3 linked regions of the Arabidopsis thaliana genome follow. The protein of the gene in region 3 purifies or fractionates together with the protein of the main gene of each other region. This does not show direct contact. Each region holds a gene or a part of one and is shown on either strand. Other genes may lie near its edges.

Region 1 (5,745 bases), on a different chromosome or scaffold from region 3:
TGTATTTGTTAAAATATCCAGTGTGAAGTGTTACATTATAAATGATGAATGTCTATCAAGTTTTCCATACATTTTTTTTCATAAGATCAAGAGAAAATAAAGAGAATTATATCTTCTTCTTTTTTAAAGAAAACACAATTAAGAGATAAATAATTAAATCATGTACATTATAGCATGTGTAGGTCACGTGTTATGAAAATGGGCTGAAGAAAGTGTAGAAGTGAGGCCCAAGACGAAGGGACCACAAAGGGTGTATTAAACCAACTCAACTGTACATGGCGGTGGTCGGTCCACGTTCCAAATTAAAGTGGCCATGTGGTTTTATCGTCTTCTATCAACGACCAAAATACGGCTCTCCAAATAAGAGAAAAACAAATACAAAACTACGTTATACTACTAACTGACTTTAGTGCAAAAAAACTTAATATAACTTAGGCTCTTAATGATCATGTACATGGCGGGACAGATTTGTATGCATAGCAGATAATATAATATCAAAAATCATGAAATTTTGGATGCAATTCCATCTCTTTTACACCCATTTCTCTACTAGGGCGTTAGAAAGTCTAACATTAGAAGTTGGACTTTAGTTACTCAATGCCAATTAGAATCTAAACTTCGGCCAACTATAGATAAAACCATTAGCTTTTTACAAAATCAAGAAATAAAATCAACCTCTTATGTCAGAAAACCAAGAGCCATCAATCTTTTTCTTCTATAAACAATTCAAATAAAACGTTTGTTTGGTTCTCTGCAACAACATAGCAAATTAGCAATCATTAAGCAATTTTGTCTACTCATCAAACAAAAATATTTCTCTGTAACGAAAAAAAGATAGTGGGCTAATATTATGGGCCATGAGACTGCCTTAGAAGCCCATCCTTTCACTACACACTTTGTAATATACATTAGAAACCCTATAAATTAATACTCGATAAATTAATAAACACGATAAATTAATAAATTTTGCCGGTCGAAGTCGGGCCAATGTAAAAATTAACGAAAATCGATAAGATAATAAAATAATAATTTTTTGAAACCCCTATGTAAAAATATAGTCCCAATAATATCATAAATTAATAATCATAAATCTTAAGCATACATTCTAAGACTAATTTTATATGAAACTTTTATTCAAGCTACAATTGCAACTCTTTTTAGAATAGAGTTGGTATGATCTCTTTTATACTCACATAATTCTTTGCGTATTTGATCCGTCATATTTGGTTTTGTAACATTTTTTCTATGAAAAACCATTGCTAAGATTTTTGTAAAGAAAAATTGATTTAACCTCCACGTTAACGTCGTAGATATAGAGACACTATATCTTGCAGAAAAATAAATTTAAAATATCAAAAATAAAATTAAAGATCTAACATAATTGAATATACAAATAACAAAATATGAGAAAAATACTAAATCGGAAAAGCATTTTTAAAATAATTTAGTATTGTGTTTTACGTTAATATTCTATTAATTACTATTTATTAATTTATAAAATAAATTAATATTATTATAAATTAATAAAAATTTATAGTCCAATCATTATTAATTTATAGAGTTTCTCCTGTACATATCTTTTAATCGTTTTTAGTACACACTGCACCGTTTTATCGGCGTCTTTGATTTCTTTAAACGCATCGTTTGTAACCCAAAAATGAAAAAACCCAACTCTTATCCCCTGGAAAAAACCTTTCACTGCTTGCTTTCTCAGTCTCTCTGTCTCCAATGGCGTTCACCTTTCTCTCTCCTCACCCAGTCTTTCTCTCTCTAACTGGAACAACCTCTTCCTTCTCCTACAAACCAGTTCTCTTACCATTCTCTCGAAATTCCCGTACTCTCACGGTTGCGGCGGGACCTGCTCGCCGGAATTCGTACCCGAACCCTGCTGATGACGATCCACCTGAAGCACCGGAGGATTCAATGCACGGAGTTTCGAAGTTTCAGCAGATCCAGCGTCAAGCTGCTCGTGCACGGAAGCTAGAGGAAGAAGATTTCGAGAAGAATCGGAACACTTATCTCTCCGCTATCGCCGATGTGGAAGACGCGGCGGAGACGGGACGAGATGACGAAGAATCTGGTGGAGACTTGTTCTCTGATATCGATAGAGCAATCTCCATGAAACGTAGTGAGTTTGTTAAGCAAGGATTGCTCAAACCTAATCCTCCCAAAACGGCATCGCTTAAGAAGATTGGGGAGGAGGGAAATGAGGAAGAAGGTGATGTTACTGACGATGTTGATGAGCTTGATGAAGAAGAAGTTGTTGATTTGGATGAAATTGATAAATTAACTGGATTAACAGAGATTTCTGATGAAGAAGATTGGGTTGATGAGGAAGGTAACACTAGGATCAACAAGAAGAAGGAGTTTGGGTCTGATCATCAATTTGAATTCGATTTGGATGATTTTGGTGAATCTAAAGCGAGAATCGTGGAACCTAAGTTCAAAATGTGCTTAGCTGAGCTTTTAGATGAGAGTAAAGTGGTACCAATCTCAGTTTACGGCGATTTAGATGTCGAAATCACCGGGATTCAACATGATTCGCGCGGTGTGAGCGCCGGAGATCTCTTCGTGTGTTGTTTAGGAAGTGAAAATTTCTTGAGTGAAGCAGATAAGAGAGGAGCAGTGGCGGTTGTAGCTAGCAAAGAGATTGATATTGAAGATACTTTAGGTTGCAGAGCACTTGTCATTGTTGAAGATACGAATGCAGTTTTAGCAGCTTTAGCTTCTTCCTTTTATAGGCATCCCTCGAAGAACATGTCGGTGATTGGAGTTACTGGTACGGATGGGAAAACGACTACTACGTATTTGATTAAGAGCCTCTATGAAGCGATGGGTGTGAGAACAGGAATGTTTAGCACAGTTTCTTGTTATATTCATGGCGATAACAAATTGGATACGCCTAATGCTACGATGAATCCTGATGCTGTTTTGGTTCAGAGTTTGATGGCTAAGATGTTGCATAATGGAACTGAATCTTTGGTTATGGAAGCTTCTCCTCAAGAACTTGCTTTAGGGAAATGTGATGAAGTGGATTTCGACATTGCGGTTTTCACAAATTTGACTAGAGAAAATACGGATTTTCGTGGTACTGATGAAGAGTATAGAGATGCTGAAGCCAAGTTGTTTTCAAGAATGGTTGATCCGGAAAGGCATAGGAAAGTGGTTAACATAGATGATCCAAACGCAGCATTCTTTGTCCAGCAAGGGAATCCTAATGTTCCTGTTGTGACATTTGCCATGGAAAACACCAAAGCCGATGTTCACCCGTTAAAGTTTGAGCTTTCCTTGTTTGAGACACAGGTTTTGGTTAATACCCCTCAAGGTATACTGGAGATCTCTTCGGGTTTGTTAGGACGGCATAACATTTATAATATTCTTGCTGCTGTGGCTGTTGGGATTGCTGTTGGAGCTCCTCTTGAGGATATTGTTAGAGGTGTTGAGGAAGTCGATGCAGTCCCAGGAAGGTGTGAGTTGATTGATGAGGAACAAGCTTTTGGTGTTATTGTGGATCATGCAAACACACCTGATGGCTTGTCAAGGCTGCTAGATTCAATTCGAGAGCTTAAACCGAGAAGAATCATTACCGGTATAGATATTTTCTTCCATCTAATAGATACTCTTTGCCTGTTCGGCCGTTCCTATGGTCTTTATATGTGTGGTCATCTGATTATTTTAGTTGTTTTATTTATTTATTGAAGTTATTGGTTGTGAGGGTGAGAATGAAAGAGGGAAAAGACCGCTTATGACGAAAATTGCTACTGAAAAGAGCGATGTGACGATGTTGACATCTGATAATCCGAGGAATGAAGATCCATGTAAGTAACTCTAAGAATTAGATTGAGTCTATCTCCCTTGAGTGTTTCTGGAGGTATATTAACAGTTAATTTTCCAATGTGGTTTTAGTGGACATCTTGGATGACATGTTGTCTGGGATTGGATGGACGATGCAAGAGTATTTGAAACATGGCGAACACGATTACTATCCGCCTTTGGCAAATGGTCATAGACTCTTCCTTCACGATATTAGACGTGTAGCTGTACGTTGTGCTGTTGCTATGGGTGAAGAAGGTGATATGGTTGTAAGTATTCAAATAAACCCACACTCTATACAGTACTTTACTGAGTGTGTTATCAAAGTTGCTGGATTTACCTTTATGAGCAATCAAAGTAATATAGTTCTCGGGTAAATAGCTTTGCTTGACACTGATTTTTGCAGGTTGTAGCTGGGAAAGGGCATGAAGCGTATCAGCTTGAAGGTGAAAAGAAAGAGTTTTATGATGACAGAGAGGAATGTCGGGAAGCATTACAATACGTTGATGAGCTTCACCAAGCTGGAATAGACACAAGCGAGTTCCCATGGCGGTAAGTAGAACCGTAACAGCTAAAACAACCAACGATAACCAAAGTTTCTAATCTGTGAAGAGTTGCTGAAACTTGTCAAGATGCTTCACGATCACTAATCTGTTCTTCCTTGTATTACTGTGCTTCTGCAGGTTACCAGAGAGTCATTAATATCTCTGTGGTGAAATCATTAGAAGAGAAGTTAGCTTAGTCCATGAAACCAGATTTTCTTCCACCATGGTCCAATTCTCTTGCGAAGATCGATTTGCACAGAGGTAATGAATTCTACACAAGTGACATAAAAATCATGCCCAAGGAAAAGAGATTACACCACTGGGAGGTACTTAACGTTCCAATCACCATTACCTTAAAGTTATTCCATTGCTCACTTCACCTGTTTTTTTGGACAAGAGGAAACCTAAGCTATCGAAATGTAATATTAGACTAAACTTAATTCAGATTTTCTGTCATTGTTACCGCAGGAGGAAGATTTTAAAGGTGGAAGAAGATGCGTACAAATTTTGTAAGGGTTAAAAACCCAAAAATGTAAGTGGTTCTGTTTTGGGTATGTTTTGATAGCATGTGTTTAATTTAGATGAACCAATTCAAACCGAACCAACAAAAATAGATTCCGGTTTAAATTATTTATTTTCTTACATGTATCCAAACTTGAAAAAAGTGAATTCAAAGAAAAAAGAAAACGATGAAAATACGGTTTCAATTTCTTAATATGAAAAATTGAGAAAGTAGGAAGACATGATTGAACAATAATAAGATTAGGCCTTGTGATATATTGTGACAAGAACATAAATTACGAATGTTTGGCAATGGTGCTAGGGAATATAGTCTTTTGAAACTATTAAGCATACTTTGAATTTTATATTCTGGTTATAAATTAAAAGATTTCCCAATATCCATTCGTATTTTTGGGACCACTCCACCAAAACCAATCTAATCAAAATATAAAACCAAATAAATAATAATTTGCTTAGAGATAGAAAACATGTTATGTCCGAGGAAATTGTCCTAAATGTCGCAACAAACGTCAATTCATTAATCGTTTTGTTTAATACAAATTTCGACAAGATTGTGATAGATCCAGAACCAGTTTAGCTAAACCGGTTGAATCAGAAGAAACGCCAAAACCCGGTCCAATAGCTCGACCTAACGCCGTCGTTTTCAAAGTTCCTTCACTCTACTTCCTTCTCGCTTACGTCACTTTCCACAGATCCAACAATGATATCAGATAAAATTAAAATATTCCCAATATATTTTCTAAGAATATCTCCCTATTTATTTTTATTTATTTAAACTATTTTAATCTCTTCCGTGTTTCACTCTTCTCTCTCTCTCGCTTCTCTTCATTGTTTGTGTGTGATTACAGCGAAGAAGAGAGAATCC
Region 2 (4,839 bases), on a different chromosome or scaffold from region 3:
ACCTGAATGCATTGAGAGTGAATGCCAATATGCAACTATTTTATCATTATCAATATCTTCCGTTCCAAGCAAATCTACCAAAGGTGCTAAAACAAATGGTCTTTCCCAGATTCTCTCATGGGGAATGATAAGTTTATCAGAAATTATCTTGTGCTTTCCATAGAACAATATGTCCAAGTCAAGTGGTCTTGGTCCATACCTTAAACCATTTTCTTCACGACCCATCTCTTTCTCAATTTTCTTGAGAACGTTCAAGAGTTCATGAGGTTTGAGCTTTGTGACACCTCTTATTGCAGCGTTGAGAAATCTTGGTTGGTCGGTCACATGAACAGGTTCTGTTTCGTACAAACAACTGTGTCTGGTTACACTGATCCCATAGTCTTTCATCAATCGTAAAGCTTCTTTGAAATTATTCATTCTGTTTCCAACATTGCTTCCCAAAGCTATCACGACTTCTTCGAAAGTTGTTGTTTCCAAAGATGTGAAATCTGAGTCATATACAAAACATGTTTCGAAGGTGAAATATGATTCAATACTTAACAGAAATTAGTGTATCAAAACGTAAACGCTGTTTTTTTCAACGAAAATGAAACGGATGAAAAAGATACGAACCCATTTTAGAATAGGTTCCTCCAAAATATCAGTATTGTCTGCTTCGATCTGACCTTAAAGTATACAAAACTATGAGTTTAGTCTTAGATAACAACGAAACAATTATTAGAAACACAAAAAATGGGTTCTAATATTTTAAGAACCAAGGAAGTAAACAATACTTATGTATGAGAGAGGCAAGGTGGTAGCCAATTTTCACCTACTTTTTTTCTGAACTTGTTGTGTTATCCAAGTACCTTCTGTCTTTCACGCTCGTCAAAAGTCAGCTTCTCTTTTGAATTAGATATGAAGATCTAGAAAAGAAAAGAAAAAAGAGAAGAAAACTTTGTTTTTAGAGAGATTTTGAAATTGGTAATGAATCTCTCATAATTTTGAAATTGGTAGTGAATCTCTCATAATTCTTTTCATTATCTATTCTATCTTTTACCATTTAAACATATATTTGGATAGATGATGGAAAATTGTGTGTTAGTCTCCAGCTATTTCATTCCATTTTTAAAAAATATCAAAATTTTCATAGATTTGTTCTGACTACATCAATTTTCTTTCATTCCACTCAAGGCACTCATGGTTACATTACCAATAGAAATTAATTAACCATACAAAATTCTAATTATTATAACTCCAGACGATATTATTTTCACTATATAGCAAAAAATAGCCGTTTTACCATAACATATATACAGTCTATATTTTTTGACGAAAAATAAATAAATATACAGTATATATATATATATATATCCTCGTGTTAGAATTGTATTAAGTTTTTCATCACACCATCTTTAGGCATTATTTCTATGCCAATCAAATCATTTACTCGTAAATCATCATAGTAATTATGATTTCAGTTAATCGTAAGTTTTTTGTAGCTTTGTGATGATGAGCCAATTAACTTCACAACAAAATATTTTCCTTGAAGTAGTTTTTTAATAGCAAACGATTTCACGAAAAACTTTACATAACAAATATTTCTACCTACATTAAAAGAATGTCATATAGACAATACTAAATTCACTAGCTTTAAAGAAGAAAAATGAGCCGTAAATAAATTATAGTAGACAGAATAGGGACATCTTGACGTTTTAGTATTTTGATCATAGAATGCTTGCCGTTTCGTTAAAGCGCTAAACCTCCTCCTCATCCTCTCCCAGCTAGCTCCTCTTGCGGTTTCAGAGCTTAAACCCCAATCTCCCTCAAAACTCATAAACATATTGCTCTCCTTTGTTCATTTCTGGGTTTACGCTTCTTTCGACTTTATGGGTTTCGGAGCTTAGTTTTACTACAATTTCGTTTGGAAAAGAGCTCTTATTTGATGTTCATGGCGTCTCTCTCCTTCACCCAATTCTTATCATTCCCCAGGTCCCTTTGCTTCTCTCTCTCTCTTGTTTTCTAACCTTAGGAAATTTTAGTATATGGGTTTCTATGGATTTGGCGTAGAACCAGTTTACTGCCCAAAAATGTGCGAACTTTAAGTTTAGCTCATCTTATCTTTCTACAGAAGAATGGAGTAACAATGATTTGAATTGAGGGCTATATTTGTCTTTCTGTTTGAAAATTTCACATTTTGATGTAATGGTTTTCTCATAGCTGTGCTTTGATTTTGGCAGATGCAATGCAGATGTTCCTTGTCTGCTCCAGTCGCATGGTTTTGTGAAGTTTAGAGGTGAAAGATGGAATGGGAAACAAAGCTTTTCTATGGCTGCTGGTAGGAGAAAGTTATCAGAGTCAGCACCTCTTGAAGAAGAAGGTAATGATGGAAACGGTGCGGTTGTGGGAAAGAAACCATCTAAAAGTGTTAAGAGAACAACGAAGAAGAAGGTTGTGGTTAAGGATGAACCATTAGAAGAAATTTCTGAATTTTTGGTTGATAATGATGATGTTTTAGACAAGGAAAGCATTGTCTCAGCTTTGAAACCAAAAAAGACAAGAACTAGAAAGAAAGGTAATGACTTTTACCATTTCTGAGCTGATGGTTCTCACTTGATGATTCACGAGTACTTAATTTGAATTCGACATATATACAGCTGCAGCAGCTTCTTCTGATGTGGAGGAAGTAAAAACCGAGAAGAAAGTGAGACGAAAGAGGACTGTTAAGAAAGATAAAGATGTGGAGGATGATTTAGCTACTATTATGGATGCTGAGGTTAGTGATGTCGAGGAAGCATTGGCTGTTGAAAGCACTGATACAGAGAGTGAAGAAGAAGAGATTGATCTGAGTAAACATGAAGGTGAAGATATTAGTCACACTTATGGATGGCCTCCTCTCGTGTGTTGCTTTGGATCTGCACAACATGCTTTTGTGCCTTCGGGAAGGCCAGCAAACAGGCTATTAGATTATGAACTACACGAACGGATGAGAGATGCAAAGTGGGCTCCAGAGAAGTATATCCGGGCTCCTGGAGGATGTGCAGGAGGTGTTGCTATTGCTCTTGCAAGCTTGGGTGGTAAGGTTGCTTTTATGGGCAAACTTGGGGCTGATGACTATGGTCAAGCCATGTTGTATTATCTGAATGTGTGCAAAGTCCAAACTAGATCAGTTAAGATTGATGGTAAAAGGGTTACGGCGTGTTCTACTATGAAGATCAGCAAGAGAGGTCGCTTGAAATCGACTTGTATTAAGCCATGTGCAGAGGATTCACTTTCAAAATCTGAAATCAACGTTGATGTGCTCAAAGAGGTAATATATTGTCCTGGAGATTTGGAACATTGAGTTTTTGGCTCTTTTTCTTGTTCACCAATCTCTTAACTTTGGTGCAGGCGAAAATGTTCTACTTCAGCACGCATTCTCTACTCGATAAGAAGATGATGTCAACTACGATACAAGCCATCAAGATATCAAAGCAACTAGGCAATGTCATTTTTTATGACTTGAATCTCCCTTTACCACTATGGCACTCCAGCGAAGAAACCAAGTCTTTCATACAGGAAGTGTGGAATCTTGCAGACGTCATTGAAATCACAAAACAGGAACTTGAATTCTTATGCGGAATCGAGCCTACTGAAGAGTTCGATACAGAAAACAATGACATCAGTAAGTTTGTCCATTACCCGCCAGAAACTGTGGAACAGCTTTGGCATGAAAATCTCAAGGTCTTGTTTGTGACCAATGGCACTTCTAAGATCCATTACTATACCAAAGAGCACAATGGTGCTGTTTCCGGAATGGAGGATGTTCCCATTACTCCTTTTACAAGGGATATGTCAGCATCTGGAGATGGCATCGTTGCAGGTACATTTTCACTTGTGTCATTTGTTTTTCATAGCAATTTGGAAGTTATGCTTGCGATTAACTGAACCACACTACTCTCTATTTCAGGTCTAATAAGAATGCTTACGGTTCAGCCAGATCTTATGAACAATAAAGGGTACCTGGAACGCACAGCGAGATATGCAATTGAGTGTGGTATTATTGATCAATGGTTGCTGGCACAAACCCGAGGATATCCTCCAAAGGATGACATGGAAGAAGAAGAAGATGATGAAGAAGAAGATGAAGTGGAATCAGATCCAAACGGTATAAGATCGATAACAGAGAAGGAATACAGAACCTCAAAGCCTTATGATGAACCAGATGGTCCATACGTTATGAAACCAGTAGAGGAAAGGGAGTACAAGAAGTTAGAGCTTGTTGGCTCAATGTTTGAAGATGGTAGTTTATGATTTTCATAAGATTTGATAATGTTTCTGTTAGTCAGCTTTTTTTTCCTGTTCACATCTTACAACATCTTAGTAGTGTGAATTTTTGTCATATGTTTTGATATCTCACTCACCATCTCAACTAATACAAAATCACTTGAAATTATCCGGAAACAGCAATGTGAAACTGCAGTGACGATGAACTTACTTTAATAGCAACTCTACTTCTACGTCTACTTAACTAATCCAAGTAGAGATTTATCTTCTTGTGATCTGCGAAAGGCAGTGTGATTCTCAAGTCCTTTTGTTTCCGGCTTAACGGTCTGCCTTTGCTTTCGGGATCTCTGTTCTCCCTTACATCTGCTAATTTCCAGACACAGTTATCTGATTCTGCATCTATAGACTCCAAGAGGAACACTCCACTCTTTACTGCTTTCCTCGAGTTTGTTTCTTCTACATAGCTTACTGTCATTGGCATATCCTTGAATCGGGGCAAGTCCTCTGGGACTCTCAGTAGCCTCTCCGCTCCTGGAGATGACACCTACACAGAAAAAAAAAAAACGGAAACAAAATTTTGTAACAAAACTGAAC
Region 3 (5,738 bases):
CCTGAGGATAGACTCGACATCGATCAAAATAAACCCCATATCGGTGTTGTAAGGAACAACTTTGGCTTCTCGGTATATGTTCATTTCGAATTTATCGGTCATAAAAGACGAGATGTAAGAGTACTGGTACGATTAAATCCCCAAGTGTTGCATCTATGATGAGCCACAAGTTCTATCTTGTAACGCCTACACATGAGCGACCATGAAGAAGAATGGTGCAGAGACATGAACATGACACGAAAATGTGGAGACTCGATAATAGATTTCCACTGCTTACAAACCAGTTTAGAAGTCGTGATCATTTTTAGTGGTAATTGTGCAAGTATAATTGTCCATAGATCATCTGTGAAGAAACATATTCTTATTCATATGTGTTATTGGGATTTACTAAGGTGTATTTAAATACTGAATTTCACATAAATTTATTTCTCAATAATATCTAGCTTTTGCTGATAAATCTACGTAACATAATGGTATGTAAAAAAAAAGTAGATTATAAATTTAATATATGTGTACATAATAAACAGTAAGAGATTTGATCAAATTATATCTTTTCATGCTATTTAGTATTGTAATTTTCTGAAATAATCAATTATCCTAAAACAAGTTCATAAATAAAAAGTTAATATCCTAAACAATATTTACGTTTAATATATTTTCTCTATTAATACTAGATTTGATGGAAATTTTATCTATTTTAGTTATTTTATATAAAAAGTTTTTTTGGTTTATAATAATGAAAAACGTGATTAATGATAAAATCATAATAAGAGCGAAGGGCCCATTATAACAGCATTTATTTGGGCCGTTGTTGGTCTCAGGTTCCCGCTCTTTTTTATCGATCGAGGCGCCAAAACACAAAGAATCGATTATATGTTGTCATCTTTCAGATTGTCAATTCAAAGAAGACGATCAGATCTAATTGACTCGAGAGAGAGAGAGAGAGACGTATGTTTGGGAGGCTGAGACCACCGCCGTCGCCGCCGGATTGTCTGGAGAGATATCCGGCGAAGATCATCAAAGACGATCCTCTCTCCGTCTACGGTATAATAAATACACACTCTTTCCATTTTCATGTGATTCTGATTGTCCAATAGAAATCTCTAGGTTTTGAAATCCTTGGTTTCTTTTGATGGCATTGTAGAGTCAACACTGTTGAAACTTAAGCAAGGGTCAACAAGACAGGACACTACTTCATCAGAAACAGAAGGTGAAGAGAATCTGTCATCAACATCATCGTCTCATGTCTTGTCTTCGGATACACAATTAGGAGACACTCATGATGCAATGGCTATAGACTCGTGTGAAAGCTCGAAACAGATAAAGAGCAAGAACCCATCAGTACTATCCATGTTTAGCAAGTACAAGAATCAAGCTCAAGCACGAAACATGAAGACAGAGACTCAGGAATGATTTGTAAACAAATGTATCCCAAGTTCATGTGTGTTGTACTTTGATTATGTACAATTTAACTACATTGTTAGTAAGGAGTCTATATAGATGCCTGTATCAAAACATCTCTCAATCATGTGTTTATTACTTTAGCCTAAACAAGCTTTATGATCTTTAACCAACGGTGTTGATAGTACTGGTCATGTAGGGGTTCATCCATAACTAAACGTCTAAACCTTATATTAAAATGGGTCTAACTGATCAATCAAAAACATTTGGGGTCAAAACAATATATTGGATAAATATAAGGGTTCATCAAAAAAAACTTAACATTTCTTCTTCACTGTAAAATGAAATAAAGCTTATCCATACTCAACTTCTTCACTCTCTCTTAAACCTTCAAAAACCCTGAAGAGTGACGAATGAATCATGCAGATTTGCCAAACCAAGCTCAATTTCACTTTCCCTAATCCCACAAACCCTAATTTCTGCAAACCCAAAGCTCTTCAATGGTCACCGCCTCGTCGCATATCCTTGCTGCCTTGTCGTGGATTCAGCTCCGATGAATTCCCAGTCGACGAAACCTTCCTCGAGAAATTCGGACCAAAGGACAAAGACACAGAAGATGAAGCTCGACGACGTAACTGGATCGAACGTGGTTGGGCTCCATGGGAAGAGATTCTCACACCAGAAGCTGATTTCGCTCGTAAATCTCTCAACGAAGGTGAAGAAGTTCCGCTTCAATCGCCGGAAGCGATCGAAGCGTTTAAGATGCTGAGACCATCGTATAGGAAGAAGAAGATTAAGGAGATGGGGATAACAGAAGACGAATGGTATGCAAAGCAATTTGAGATTAGAGGTGATAAACCACCTCCTTTAGAAACATCTTGGGCTGGTCCGATGGTTCTTAGGCAAATTCCGCCGCGTGATTGGCCTCCCAGAGGTTGGGAAGTTGATAGGAAGGAGCTGGAGTTTATTAGGGAAGCTCATAAGTTAATGGCTGAAAGAGTTTGGCTTGAGGATTTGGATAAGGATTTGAGAGTTGGTGAAGATGCTACTGTTGATAAGATGTGTTTGGAGAGGTTTAAGGTTTTCTTGAAACAATACAAGGAATGGGTTGAAGATAATAAAGATAGGTTGGAGGAAGAATCTTACAAGGTTCGTTTTTTTTTTTGAACAATGAGATATTGTTAGCTTAGTGGTGGCTAAGAGAAGGATTCTAATAAAGATGATGTTTTTATTTATACAGCTCGATCAGGATTTTTATCCGGGTAGGAGGAAAAGAGGGAAGGATTACGAAGATGGGATGGTAAATATTATTATGCTACTGGATTTGATTGTTTGATTAGTTTGCTAGATGATGAACTGTTTGTAAGTTAATTGCTTTATTTTTCTTTGTGCAGTATGAGCTTCCCTTTTACTATCCAGGGATGGTAAGAATTCTTATTCTAAGCCTTGTATATTGTAACTAATGATTGGTTTAAATGAGCAATATCGTAATGTCCATGCAGGTTTGTGAAGGCACAGTTACCACTTTACATCTGTATCAGGGAGCGTTTGTTGACATTGGAGGTGTTCATGAAGGGTATGTTTATGTCTCTTTACTTTGTAAAGATAGACTTACCGTGGTTCTTGTATTTAGGGTATATAACGTAATATAATGTTGTCTCTTGTTTCATATGCTTTTTTTGAAAGATGTAAGTTTATGTGTCTATTGGTTTGCAGATGGGTACCTATAAAAGGTAATGACTGGTTTTGGATCCGGCATTTCATAAAAGTTGGGATGCATGTTATCGTTGAAATCACGGTAATCTTAAGGCACATATTCTTCTTTCGCATTTATAAAAATCTGAATGGAAATTGCTTCATTCTCCTTTTTCTTTTGTTCTTTCAGGCAAAAAGAGATCCATACCGGTTTCGGTTTCCCTTGGAGTTGCGCTTCGTCCATCCTAACATAGATCACATGATGTATGTAATTCACACGTATTTAATTCTCTTTACATATCCAGTAAAAATTGGCATTTTGGTTCTGTCCTCAATGGTCTTGGTTATGGTATATGTGTTGACTGTTTTTACATTCCTGCTCCAGATTTAATAAATTTGACTTCCCACCAATATTCCATCGTGATGGGGATACTAATCCAGATGAGATACGGGTCAGTAGAATCCTTTCCTAGAATATCAATCCATTTCGTGTTCTCGTGAAGAGTCTCCCTCTTATCTAATACATTGTTTGTACAGCGAGATTGTGGAAGACCTCCTGAACCTAGAAAAGATCCAGGATCAAAGCCAGAGGAGGAAGGGCTGCTCTCTGATCACCCTTATGTCGACAAGGTATTTTCCTGAGCAAAAGGGTTGGTTATGTGATTTTTGCTTTGTTTACTCATTAGGTTTATTGGCTTTCTAAATTTTGTGAAACCGTCAACACATTTCTTTCCCGTTTGCAGTTGTGGCAGATACATGTAGCTGAGCAAATGATTTTGGGTGATTACGAAGCTAACCCTGCAAAATACGAAGGCAAAAAGCTATCAGAATTATCTGATGATGAAGACTTTGATGAACAAAAGGATATCGAGTATGGCGAAGCTTATTATAAGAAAACCAAATTGCCAAAAGTGATTCTGGTGAGAGTTTCTTCTGGTGTGTTCGTGAAACCATACTGTCTTAAGCTTTGTGATTAAATGTGTTCTATTTCTGGCAGAAAACCAGTGTCAAGGAACTTGACTTAGAGGCTGCATTGACCGAGCGCCAGGTTTAAATTCTCTTCCCTACTTGTCGTCACCAATTTCCTTTAACCCACTGCTACGGAAATATTCTCGTTTGTATTTGTTTATTTTTAATAGATTTCCACTTCACACTGTCTTGGTAACTCCGATTGTCGTCACAGTTCCATTTTAAGGCTTTGCACTTTGTAATTGACACATTGTTGTATGAATCTTTTATACTGATAGTGGTTAATAACTCAATACTCTCCTGTTGTCTTGTGCAGCACCACAATAAACTAATGATGGAAGCTAAAGCAAGAGGAGAAGGATACAAAATTGACAAGCTCAGACGAAATATAGAGATGGACGAGTATGATTTCTTACACTGGCGCCGATCTTTGGAGGAAAGAGAAGCATTGCTCAGAGATATCAGCTCGTAAGTAAAAAAAAGTTCACTTTGATGTTTTTCAAAGAAAGTGTTTAGATGAAGAAGATTTATTTTGCAGTCGGCAAGCACTTGGTTTACCATTGGAGGAACCAGGGAGGTACAAGCCAGGAAGCTTCTTTGGGAAAGACCAGTACGATCCAACAAGTGCATTATATCAGTATGACTACTGGGGAGAGCCAAAGAACTCAGAGATTAGCAAGCAAGAGAGAATGAAGGATGCACACAACAAATCCATTGTTGGGAAAGGCAATGTGTGGTATGACATGTCTTACGATGATGCGATTAAGCAGACAATAGAGAAAAGAAAAGAAGGGTCTACCTTGGCGAGTCAAGAAGAAGAAACAGAGTCAGAGGAAGAAGAAGAGGATGACGATGATTTTGACGATTTTGACTATAGCATTCTGAGTGATGAGAGCAGTATCGGTTACTCGGAACAGCAACCTCTTGTTAACGGTACTCAAGTCTTGACAGACTGATGTTTAAAAGGAAAGTAAAAATAAGAAATTGTCGAGGTTGATTTATTTGAATTTTTGTCTGTTAGGTTTGATCTATTTGATAGTTTTTTTTTTTCATTTCTTCTTATCCCGGAGATAGTAAAATCAGTTTCTTATTAACTTAGCCAGACGTTTGGGATCTTGTAGTACACCGTTGAACGTTAGGAACGTGACGTTTTTTGTTTTTTCTATCAATCGTCGTCAGAGAAGGTAGTCTTGACACCGCAAAATACGCCTAAATGTTTCTCTTGTTTCTTCTGTTTGGGCTCCAAAACATCAACTTCTATCAAAAGGCTTTCTCGTTCGTACCTGGAATATCAAAAACCCTTGTCATCTCTCCGTGTATACCAAAAACTTCACACCATGTGTGCTCTTTGATGACAAAACTCTTAAGGCAAACTCTTACCAAAGCTACTCTGCAAGGTTGTACCTAATTCACAAAAATAATAGCATTAAACTTGTACAATGACATCAAAACTCTAAAGCAATAAGTTAGAGAACCAAATCTCCATAACATGGAAAATCAGTTTACTTGGGTCGGAGAGGGTATGGAGCTATCTCAGCTACGGAGAAGATGAAAACAGAGACGGTTTATTAGCCTGGAAGAGTTCGTTGAGAGCAGCAAAAGAAGTTATAAATATAAACCTTGAAGAGGAAGAGAGCGAGAGAAAAGAGGTGCTCCGAGTTGTATATGCTCGT

The links.
Region 1: the proteins of PDE312 (region 3) and MURE fractionate together in Arabidopsis thaliana (co-fractionation; one large-scale study listed by BioGRID). This does not show direct contact.
Region 2: the proteins of PDE312 (region 3) and FLN2 fractionate together in Arabidopsis thaliana (co-fractionation; one large-scale study listed by BioGRID). This does not show direct contact.

What each region holds. Positions count from the first base shown.
Region 1 is NC_003070.9:23,612,733-23,618,477, forward strand, and holds MURE (ALBINO OR PALE-GREEN 13), read left to right. Parts: upstream 1-1,607; 5' UTR 1,608-1,728; coding exon 1,729-3,589; intron 3,590-3,701; coding exon 3,702-3,818; intron 3,819-3,906; coding exon 3,907-4,082; intron 4,083-4,219; coding exon 4,220-4,365; intron 4,366-4,496; coding exon 4,497-4,515; 3' UTR 4,516-4,684; exon of another isoform or gene 4,685-4,826; 3' UTR 4,827-5,180; downstream 5,181-5,745. UniProt on the Arabidopsis thaliana protein: Involved in chloroplast biogenesis. Required for thylakoid membrane development. Seems to be required for plastid-encoded plastid RNA polymerase (PEP)-dependent gene expression.
Region 2 is NC_003070.9:26,014,094-26,018,932, forward strand, and holds FLN2 (fructokinase-like protein), read left to right. Parts: upstream 1-1,930; coding exon 1,931-1,971; intron 1,972-2,219; coding exon 2,220-2,554; intron 2,555-2,636; coding exon 2,637-3,289; intron 3,290-3,369; coding exon 3,370-3,841; intron 3,842-3,928; coding exon 3,929-4,272; downstream 4,273-4,839. Other genes in the region: AT1G69190 (Dihydropterin pyrophosphokinase / Dihydropteroate synthase), read right to left, coding at 1-488, 613-616; AT1G69210 (Uncharacterized protein family UPF0090), read right to left, coding at 4,490-4,789. UniProt on the Arabidopsis thaliana protein: Required for proper chloroplast development, most likely through regulating plastid-encoded polymerase (PEP) dependent chloroplast transcription.
Region 3 is NC_003074.8:17,960,388-17,966,125, forward strand, and holds PDE312 (Nucleic acid-binding, OB-fold-like protein), read left to right. Parts: upstream 1-1,775; 5' UTR 1,776-1,821; coding exon 1,822-2,550; intron 2,551-2,641; coding exon 2,642-2,701; intron 2,702-2,795; coding exon 2,796-2,825; intron 2,826-2,903; coding exon 2,904-2,977; intron 2,978-3,117; coding exon 3,118-3,360; intron 3,361-3,481; coding exon 3,482-3,548; intron 3,549-3,633; coding exon 3,634-3,726; intron 3,727-3,839; coding exon 3,840-4,016; intron 4,017-4,093; coding exon 4,094-4,144; intron 4,145-4,381; coding exon 4,382-4,533; intron 4,534-4,603; coding exon 4,604-5,021; 3' UTR 5,022-5,226; downstream 5,227-5,738. Other genes in the region: AT3G48490 (uncharacterized protein), read left to right, coding at 951-1,044, 1,145-1,413.